2 linked regions of the Callithrix jacchus genome follow. The protein of the gene in region 1 binds, or shares a complex with, the protein of each later gene. Links are inferred from orthologs where the notes say so. Each region holds a gene or a part of one and is shown in the gene's direction. Other genes may lie near its edges.

What was found. The genes of interacting proteins can lie anywhere in the genome.
Region 2: the proteins of CTSK (region 1) and CST3 are in contact, whole or in part, in a crystal structure (PDB 8V57), measured with the Mus musculus proteins. The link is inferred for Callithrix jacchus from reciprocal best matches to the Homo sapiens genes CTSK and CST3. Residues at the interface, in NP_031828.2 of Mus musculus: Asn132, Gln133, Gly134, Gln135, Cys136, Gly137, Cys139, Trp140, Glu173, Asn174, Tyr175, Cys177, Gly178, Gly179, Gly180, Tyr181, Met182, Ser248, Ala251, Ser252, Gln257, Phe258, Val274, Asn275, His276, Ala277, Ser297, Trp298, Ser301, Trp302; in NP_034106.2 of Mus musculus: Pro27, Arg28, Met29, Leu30, Gly31, Ala32, Pro33, Gln75, Leu76, Val77, Ala78, Val80, Asn81, Tyr122, Pro125, Trp126, Lys127, Thr133.

What each region holds. Positions count from the first base shown.
Region 1 is NC_133519.1:10,708,029-10,713,251, reverse strand, and holds the start of CTSK (cathepsin K), read left to right. Parts: upstream 1-1,801; 5' UTR 1,802-1,848; intron 1,849-3,233; 5' UTR 3,234-3,234; coding exon 3,235-3,354; intron 3,355-3,817; coding exon 3,818-3,940; intron 3,941-4,020; coding exon 4,021-4,176; intron 4,177-5,223. UniProt on the Homo sapiens protein: Thiol protease involved in osteoclastic bone resorption and may participate partially in the disorder of bone remodeling. Displays potent endoprotease activity against fibrinogen at acid pH. May play an important role in extracellular matrix degradation.
Region 2 is NC_133506.1:30,639,703-30,644,915, reverse strand, and holds the start of CST3 (cystatin-C), read left to right. Parts: upstream 1-1,902; 5' UTR 1,903-1,983; coding exon 1,984-2,226; intron 2,227-4,360; coding exon 4,361-4,474; intron 4,475-5,213. UniProt on the Homo sapiens protein: As an inhibitor of cysteine proteinases, this protein is thought to serve an important physiological role as a local regulator of this enzyme activity.

The sequences.
Region 1 (5,223 bases):
TTGTAAAATTTCTTGTGTTGTGTGATCTTAATTGCGGCTTTATCATTCCTTTCCAGTTCATAAACAACAAGCACCCACAACTAGAGGAATCTATTGCTTAAGCTCCAGACATACAGACATAGGGCACACTGTGTCTTTAATTCCAGGAATTAGAAATCATAGGGTTCTGATCACACTGTACTTCTCCCCCTCCTTTGTCCTCCTGATCCTGACACATTCTGAGTAACGTCAGCAGGGACGCTGCTGAGGTGGGGGTTTTGGGGTGGGCGTTGCCCAGGTTCTTGGGGGAGAGGGGAAGAGTTGGAATTTGAAACCACTAAGGCACATCTGGATGTCTTCCCCCAGTATGTCCTCTTCTGGATTAAAAGGAGTGAAATTTAAACTGTTCAAGTCTGGACCTGGTTTCCCTCTAGGAGACTTATGTTGGTTCATTAGCAACTTTTTTTTTTTTTTTTCAGTGAGAGATGGAGTCTCACTCTGTTGCCCAGGCTGGAGTGCAGTGGTGCAATCTTGAGTCACTGCAACGTATGCCCCCTGGGTTCAAGCAATTCTCCTGCCTCACCTTCCCAAGTAGCTGAGACTACAGGTGTGTGCCACCATGCCCAGCTAATTTTTGTATCTTTTTTAGTAGAGACAGGGTTTCACTATATGTGGGCCAGGCTGGTCTTGAACTCCTGATCTCAGGTTGTCCGCCTGCTTTGGCCTCCCGAGGTGCTGGGATTACAAGCCTGAGCCACAGCGCCTAGCCCATTAGCAACTCTTAAAATCCAGAGGCATATGCCTGTATTCTTGAGAGTTTATACATGGAATCCAGTTAGAAACTGAGTCTGTTACAGATCCCATTTATTATCCTTTCTATTCCAAGGAGCCTTTTTTCGTCCTTCCCCACATCTGTTTATGGAAGAAAATGAAGTTTGGGGTGTGGTTTGAGGACTGAGCTAGATTCTTATGATCTGTCACATGCCTGGATGTGGAGAAGCATTTGGAGAAGCTCATGTGACTTGTCTTAGATTGGGGATTTTAATAATTGAGACATGTTTATTGGGTGTCCCACCATCTGAGAGTTTTAGCAACAGAATCACATGTGAGTCCATCAGAACTTAACGGCATTGATTCAAGTGCTATCATAAATATCCAGGACTGCTGTTTTGGTTACTCTTAGAGACAATTTCATCTGGACTTTCTGGGCATATCTCCTTCAGCAAAACCACATTAGGCCAGGAAAGCTATTTATTCTTCTGCCCGGAAGTAATGACAGCTTTCAACCAACAAGCTTATATAAATACAAAGAATTCTGGAGCCTATGGATTCCATTATTCTTTTCTAGCCTTTTCTGTTCATTATCTCATCCCAGAGGTGAGGGTCAGACACAAATTTGAAAATAAGTTTCAATGTTGGAGAGGTAAATCAACAGGAAAGGGGTAGGAAAAGTTGTAATCCCCCAATATTGTAATAAAGATACTGAAAAAGAAGGATGGGAGAGACAAGGGCTGTGTCCTTCCTTTTACTCACCAGTAGAGAAGGTAAGCTCCTGCTTGAGTCAATAGATACTGATGTCTTGTTATTTGCCACCAAAGACAGTCTCGTGAGACTTAATACCTAGTAACTCTCTATTCTGGCACATATGCTGCACAGACACAGAAACACTATACATCCACTGCCTTCTTCCCTCCTCCCTACCCTCCCTTCTCTCAGCATTTCTATCCCTGCCTCTTCCTCTTACCCAAATTTTCCAGCCGACCACTGGAGCTGACTTCCGCAATCCTGATGGAATAAATCTAGCACTCCTGATCATCTGCCCACACTTTGCTGCCGAAACGAAGCCAGACAACAGATTTCCATCAGCAGGTAACATTTGCAACTTCTTAGATCTTTTAGCTTTTCATTCCTGTCAATTCTTTAAGAGTATTAGGCATGTAGTGACTTGAGGATCAAAGTAAACTTTTAGCCTCTGCAGATGAAAACAGAGATGCCCTTCTTAGGTTATTTCCTGACTAAATAAAATCTGCCTTGAAATCTGTAGGATTCTTTGCATGATTTGTATATATACATACATGGTTTTTATTGAAAGCAAAAGATATAGGGAATCATTTGCCCATCCTTCAAGAGTGGCCTTTCTGAAGCATTTTCGACTTTAGCCAACAAGGATCAAAAGGGTTAACTCAATAGTGAGGAGGAGGAGGGTGGTACAGGGAGGTGGTAGCTCAGTGCTTCCTGTTCTCTGAGACATCTCAAAGCCCTCAACACTAGCTATTAAATATCCTACTGGACATTTTGGCAGTTTGCAAAAATTACACGTAAATGGACTATAAGCAATTGTGTAAGCCATATGACATGCTGCAGGCTGCAAATTGTCTTAAGATGGAGGATTTGTAATTAAGGAAACCAATGCAAGAAATGAGTGAAGCTAGCTAAACTTATGAAAAGCTGTGAATTTAATCATCATACAACATTGCTTTTCAGTCCGAAAATTATTCTAACAAACTGGAGCTGAGGCTTCTTCTGTGCGGCAGCCACAGTGGTTTTTTGTTGTTGGAGGAGGGGGAAACCTTGCCCACAGCATCTGGTTAAGATTAGGGCAATTTCCTGCCTAAGGAGGGAGGGGAGAGGGAAAGGAGGAAGAAATGCATAAGGAGAGTGAGGAGACAGAAAATGTCTCAGAAAACAGAAAACATTGTCATATTTTCCCTTTTGACAAGATCTGGGAAAGTACTGGAATTTAGGCAAGAAAGAGAACAATGCCTTGAAGAAATGGTCAGGAAGAAAACTTAGTTGGAAATCTCTCCTTTCTGTATTCTGAACCTGAGTACCACTTTGCCCTTTGTTTCCAAGCCTGCTAGGGACTCTGGAGGAAACAGGCACTGAGCCCATTCTGATTTTCCAGTTTCTATCCCATTTCTGGTTGTGTACGTTTGTGTGTGTGTGTGTGTGTGTGTGTGTGAGAGAGAGAGAGAGAGAGAGAGACAGAGAGAGAGACAGAGGCAGAGAGTGTGTGTGTTGGCTAAATCTCCAGAGAGAGAGAGAGAGAAAGAAAGAATGGCTAAATCTCCCTAGCTCAAAGTCCTTGGAACCAGATGTACCAGCACCCTATCTTAACACAGGCCCCTCCTATCATTGTTTTATCATATGAAAGTTACCCTCCATTCTGTGTCTACCTTCCTTTTCCTCATAAAGCCTAGTTTTCCTGTTTCCCTGCCAAATGGAAGAGTTTTCCTAACTATACTCTTCCGCAGAATGTGGGGGCTCAAGGTTCTGCTGCTACCCATGGTGAGCTTTGCTCTGTATCCTGAGGAGATACTGGATACCCACTGGGAGCTATGGAAGAAGACCCACAGGAAGCAATATAACAGCAAGGTGCCTGGGGTCCTGGAGGGGGCGTGGCATGAGGGCTGAGACAAGAGCTCTCTCATCTTAGCTTCCAGACTCCCTTCTTCAATCCAAATGTTTTATTCCAAGCTAATCAGTCCCTCTTCCCTGTCTCATGTTAACATGAGGTATTCATTCCTATGCTTCAAATCATCCTCTGTCAAATTGTATCCTTCCTTTGCTTTATAACTGCCTTACATTTCTCTTTTGGGAAGACGTCTTAAGATTAATGCTATTCATCTATAGGCAATTTTTCTATGAGCCTCTACAGAGCTTTATTTGTATTAATTTGACTTGTTTGCATATTATCTCTTAATAATTCCATGGTTAGTTCCCCAACTAAACTGTAAACTGTTTGTGATTGAGTTTCCTTTATTCTCCTAAAAACCTTCACAGTATTACATACGTAACTGTACACACTCTATACAAGTACTGACTATGCTTTGTTTAGGTGGATGAAATCTCTCGGCGTTTAATTTGGGAAAAAAACCTGAAGTATATTTCCATCCATAACCTTGAGGCTTCTCTTGGTGTCCATACATATGAACTGGCTATGAACCACTTGGGGGACATGGTGAGTACAGCTTCAGCTCCTGTCTCACCTACACCGTCTGCTTTACTTCCCTGCTGATGCCTGGCCTCTCTTTGTCTCAGACCAGTGAAGAGGTGGTTCAGAAGATGACTGGACTCAAAGTACCCACCTCTTATTCCCGCAGCAATGACACCCTTTATATCCCGGACTGGGAAGGTAGAGCCCCAGACTCTGTTGACTATCGAAAGAAAGGATATGTTACTCCTGTCAAAAATCAGGTACTCTCCTTTCTTCTGGGTGTGCATATGTAATCTGGCATGAACTCTTCCTTCTTCTGCTGCTTCGTTCTTGAGGTGAAAGGGCGCCAGAAAGAGAGGGCAAGCAGTTAAGGTACATCTCCCCAAGCTAAGAGAATATGGCTTGTTCTGTTACTTAACCTCATTCGTTTTTGCACTTTTGGGTTGTTTCTGGGTTTTCTTCTTTCTTTGAGACAGAGTCTCACTGTCGTCCAGGGTGGTGTGCAGTGGCGCAAACTTGGCTCACTGCAACCTCCACCTCCCGGGTTCAAGTAATTCTCCTTTCTCAGCCTCCCGAGTAGCTGAGATTACAGGCACATACCACTACACCTGGCTAATTTTTCTATTTTTATAGAGTTGGGGTTTCACCGTGTTGGCCAGGCTGGTCTTGAACTCCTGACGTCAGGTGATCCACCTACCTCGGTCTTCCAAAGTGCAGGGATTACAGGTGTGAGCCACTGTGGTCTGGTTTTCATTACAGACAGTGTTGCAGTATGCACCTTTGTGCATACTTTTTTGTGCACATGTACAAATATTTACGCAAAATAAGTCGTAACATCAGAATTGCTAGGTCACAAGGAACAAAAGAAAACAAAACTTTTTTTTTTTTTTTGAAACAGAGTCTCTCTCTTTAACCCAGGCTGGAGTCCAGTGGCATGATCATGGCTCACTGCAGCCTCAACCTCTCAAGTTCAAATGATTTTCCCACCTCAGCCTTTCTAGTAGCTGGGACTACAGGCACATGCTACCACACCTCATTAATTTTTTAAATATATTTTTTTGTAGAGACAGGGTTTTTCCATGCTGCCCAGGCTGGTGTCAAACTCCTGGGCTCAAGCAATCTGCCCACCTTGGCTTCCCAAAGTGCTAGGATTATAGATGTGAGCCACCATGCCTGGCCCAAAAAAGTTTTTACAATCTTACATTCTTACTAGCAACCTTAACATCAGGATTGTATCAGCAATTGTGTCAGTTTTTTCACAACCTTAACAACAAAGGATTGTATCGGCAAGATAAACAATTGATTTA
Region 2 (5,213 bases), on another chromosome or scaffold:
CGCACCTTTCCAGCCTCACAGAGACTCCCTGACCAGGCCCAGTGGCACCGTCTGTCCCTAAGGCATACTCTCACTTCCAACAGAGGAACTCATTTCCCAATAGTAATTATTGATCACTATTCGCCATCTTCCCACACACCCTAATGCTGGGCTGTGCAGTGCCACAGCCACAAGCCCCATGTGGCCACAGGGCACTCGACATGGGGCCAGTGCAATTCACACCCACTCTAAGTGTAAAAAATATACAGGGAATTTCAGAGACTTAGTACCCACACCCGAAAGAAAATAACCTATGTTATTAACGACTCTTCCTTTGTGTTGAAGTAATATTTTGGATATATTAGGTTAAGTAAGAAATATTATAAACATTACCTTCACCTGTTTCTTACTTTTTGAAACATGTCTCCTAGAAAGTTTTAAATTGTTCCTGGGTGGTGTCACCTGTCTGCCAGCAGCCCTGCAATGTCATGTCCCCAGCTGGGTCACCCAGGCTCTGTCTCTAACTCCCAGACCACCTGGTGCAGAAGGAAGCTGGCGACAAGTGTGTTTACGGAATAATGAGGAATTGTGAAAGGAGGACCCAGAGTTTTTTTACTCAAATTAATTCCTCTGTTTGAAAAGTTCCCTAGCACAGGGCACCGCCTGAGGCTCCCGCTGCCTCTGGAATCACACCTCTGCCTTGACCAAATGCTCGAGGATGCCCAGGACCTCTGAGGATTCCGGGAGGCCAACACCTCTATTTTTCCCTTTTCTGAGGAAATGAAACTAGGGGGTTGCATGCTTTTAGGGCTCAGAGGCCCTGACAATCTCTGGAAACCAGGGTCACCCAAGAGTGGGAGGAGTGACAGGCCTTTGGGGAGAGATGGAGCTGAGGGGGTGCAGGTGGGCATGGGTGAGGAAGGGGTTGAGGGAGAGGGGCCAGGAGTGGGGTTAGAAGAGGGGAAAGAGGACAGGACAGACAGGGACAGGGAGAGGACAGGAGAGAGTAGAAAGGGAAGACAGAGGAGGGTTGGGATGGGGAGGGGCGAAGATTAGGGGCAGAGCTTAGGGGAGAATTGGGAGCATGGACAGGAGTGGGGATGAGGGAGAAGAGGGGCTGGGGAAGCGGTGTCGGAATTGAAAGGATAAAGGGATAGAGGAGAAAGAGCCTGGAGAGGGGAGGCCTGGAGTCCCGAGGCAGGAAGGGTCTGGGATTTTGAGGGAGGAATGGAAAAGATAGGCGGGGCAGGGGAGGCAGGGAGGGAGAGAGCAGACAAGGAGGGAGACCGGAGGGGAGGGAATGGTAGGGAAGAATGGGGAGCCTAGTAGAGGCGTGGAGGAGGGGAGGGAGAGGGGAGGCGTGGGTGGGAATGGGAGCGGGGAGGGATGGAGGGGGAGAGGAAGGACCGGGAAGGACTAGTTAGGAAGGGGAAGGACTGGGAAGGATGGGGAGGGGGAGGGGCAGGGGACGGGGATGGGGGCGTGGGGGGGGAGAAGAGGCAGGGGACGAGGGAGGGGCAGGGGAGGCTGGGGGGAGGGGCAGGGGAGGCTGGGGGGAGGGGCAGGAGGGAGGAGGGACACGGGAGGCGCTGGAGGGGAAGGGGAGGCGGGGAGAGGGGAAGAGTAGGCGGGGGGGGGGGGGGGGGGAGGGGACGGGGAAGAGGCGGGGGAATTGTGGAGCAGGCCGGGGAGACGGGGGGAGGGGCGCGGTATGCGTGGGGAGGGGCGGGAGGGGCGGGGGAGGCGGGGTGCGGGGCGGGGAGGCGGGGGAGGCGGGGGAGACGGGGGGAGGGGCAGGGAGACGCCGTAGGGGCGGGGGAGGCGGGGAGGGACCGGGCGTTCCGGAAAAGGAGAAGTGGGCGGGGCGGAGGGGCGGGGAAGGCCGGAAGGTATAAAAGCGCAGCCGCTGGCCGGGCGAGACTCAAAGGCTCCGAGTCGCGGTAGGTTGTGTCTCTGCAGCTCTAGTCTCTTGCCTGCGCCCCGCGTCCCGCGTCCAAGCCGACCATGGCCGGGCCCCTGCGCGACCCGCTGCTCCTGCTGGCCGTCCTGGCCTTGGCCCTGGCGGTGAGCCCCGCGGCTGGCACGAGCCCCGGGAGGCAGCCGCGCCTGTTGGGCGGCCCCATGGACGCCAGCGTGGAGGAGGAGGGCGTCCGGCGCGCGCTGGACTTCGCCGTCAGCGAGTACAACAAGGCCAGCAACGACAGGTACCACAGCCGCGCGCTGCAGGTGGTGCGCGCCCGCAAGCAGGTGCGTGCCGCCCCCGGGCCCGAGCCCCCGCCCGCCCCGCGCCGCCCCGCGCCGCCCCCGTCCCTGAGCTTCTCACCCGGACCCGTTCCGGGCCTTGGCCGTCACCCCGGGGCCCTTGGCGGGCGTGTCCGGGGATGCCCCGACCCTGGCCTGGCCTGGAACCGCACGGGCTCGCCCGGTCCGCGCCCGGCGCCTGAGATCCGCTTCCCGGCACCAGCTGGAGCGGGGGCAGCACAGGACGGACCCCTGGGACGCGGGGCCGAGGGCGCTACTGAATACCCAGGAGAGGGGAAAACAGCCCCTCGTCTGGCTGCCCCCTGACCCTTTCACCAAATAATTTTTAAACACTTTTTCTTTTAACCTTTTATTCTCACTTAATCTCAGACTTACAGAGCAGCTGCAAAAATAGTACAGGGCGTCCCTGTAGATCCCTCCCCCAGATGCCTCCGACGGTAACAGGAATGTTGGCGTTTTGCTGTTTGGTCCCTAGCTCACTCGGCGTGTAAATATGGATATGTGTATACTGTATATGCATTTTTGGCCTGACTCTGTTGAGAGTAAGCGCTTCAATGTGTCTTTCCTAAAATTACAAGGGCGATGTCTCACATAACCACGATTCCATTTTGAAAATCAGCACTGACACATTTATAAGCTCATTCTCACGCTCATTCAGCAGCTTTCCCCGACTGTCCGCTGACGGCCGTCATGCCCGAGGACGCTCCTCCTCCCTGAGCGCATGAGCCCAGCCCTGTCCTGTCCCCTCGGCCTCCTTTAACCTGCAGGAGCCTTTGTTGTGTCTGTGCCATGACTCTGTCATTCCACAGGGTCCAGCAGATGTGGATGGGGGCTGTGCTGACGCTCGGTGCTGCTCAGGATGAGATCCAGGCCATGAGGCTCATCCTTCTCCCTGAGTCCTCCCCACAGGGGCCACCTGGGAGCCTGGCTCCTTGACCTGGAGAGCCCTGCTTCCCTCCCCAAGTCACACCCTTGGGCACAGCCCCTTAGGGCTAGCGGCCTTCATCCTCAGGCTGGCTGACCACCCCTGACAGCCCAGGGCTGCTGAATTCCTGCTGGGGTGGAGCCTGCCTGATGGTCCTGCCTCTACCAGCTGACATAGAGTTAGACCTCAGCCAGATGAGGACAGCAGTCACCCAGCAGAGCGGAGGAGGGGGTCAGGTCGGGAGGGAGCTTCGGCAGGGTTGCCCGGCCCAGCTTGACCTGTGTCCCATAGCAGAGCAGCAAACAGTGACACAACGACCACAGGGCTCTATGGCCTACGAGTCTTGAGAGCTCCTCCACCTTCTCTCGGAAATTCAGAGAAGTCAGACCAGCGACCGTCAACTGGGGCCCTCTCCCTGCACAGGAGGGCCACTCCCTGGTGTAGGGTCCCCGCTGGCTTGTACGTCTCTCACTTGGAGTGAAGCTCGGGGCATTGTAGCTGGTTGGGCCCTGGAGCCTGTGTTACAGAGGAGCAGCCTGACACGGGAGGGATCACAGGACTTGCACGTGGTTCCACAGGGCAAGACCTAGCACCCCGATCCCAGGGTCCCACAGTTCTGACAAGTCATATCTGGGGATGACACCATGCAGGGAAAGGATCCGTTTTCTGAAGTTGCAGCTGTGAGACATGCAGGTGTGTGACTCACTCTAGAAATACTGCCTCCAGAATCACACCTGGAGCGCAAGCAAGGTTTATTGGACTAAAACACCAACATATATAAGCACTTGTTTCCCGCTGAGAAATTAGGGAAAGTACCTCTGAGTTAAGTGGCAGGAGTGAGATGCTGTGTGGGCTGGATGCCAGGAACTGGAGGCTTGCTGAAACTTCGTCATCACATGAGAGCCTTCCTAGAATAGACCCAGTGTCCCTGCCCCCTGGGTTATAGGTAGCAGAATTCAGTTAATCCTTGGCATTGGCACAGAGAAAACAAGTTACCAGGGAGGCCTGGAGCATGGCATCCCTGCCAGCTGGCAGGAGGAGGTGCCTTGTGTGCCTTGCAAGTGAGTGTGAGCAGCTCATGAAGGTAGGCTTGAAGCCCCAGGCAAGCCCAGTGACTCGGTCACAGTGAAGTGTCTGTGCATATAAGAAACTGACAGCGTGCTGCCCCTGCATCCTGCTCTTTCACATGTGTAGATCGTAGCCGGGGTGAACTACTTCTTGGACGTGGAGATGGGCCGAACCACATGTACCAAGGACCAGCCCAACTTGGACAACTGTCCCTTCCACGAGCAGCCACATCTGAAGAGGGTATGTGCCTCATGTGGGTCCAGGGCCAGTCATACACTGCAGAGGGGGGGAGTGTGTGTGTGTGTGTGTGTATGTGTGCATGTACCTGAGTGTGTATACATGTTTCCATGTATAGGCTTGTGTGGGGAGGAGCACATGAGTGTATGCCAGTGGGTGTTTGGATGTGTTGGGGAAGTGTGGAGGTTTATGCATGGCTCTGTGTGGGTATGAGTGTATATGTGTGTGCACATATGTGTGGGGGTGTGTCACATGGTGTTTGAGAAAGTACCTGCAACTGTATGTGTGCATGTGGGTGGATAGATGTGTGAGGAAGTATGTGGGTTCACGCATGGATCCATGTGGCTGAGGGTTGGTGTGAGTTTAGATGCCTATGTGTGTGCAGATGGAGTGGTGTGGCAAGGGGTGATGACTTTGATTTGCTAAGATGGCTTTAGCTTGGAAATGGGGGTACTAGGCGCTCCACCCTGTGTGCTTTGGGGTGTTGCCTGCTGGACTATAGGAAGCAGCTGCAGGGCTGGGTGCTGGGCAGGGAGAAGGGGCTCTGTCTAATCCCAGCCTCAGGCACCTGCCTGCAGCCATGGCCACACTGAGCAGATTGGAGGGAACTAGAGGCCTGTTAGTAGCCAAACCCTCGGCCCTGCCCCACTCACCCAACAGCAGCCTCTCCAAGGACCCGGGATTTCTTTTGAGGTCTCTGCTCAGGGGAGAGCCACACTGTCCTTGTCATCTCCTCGTCACC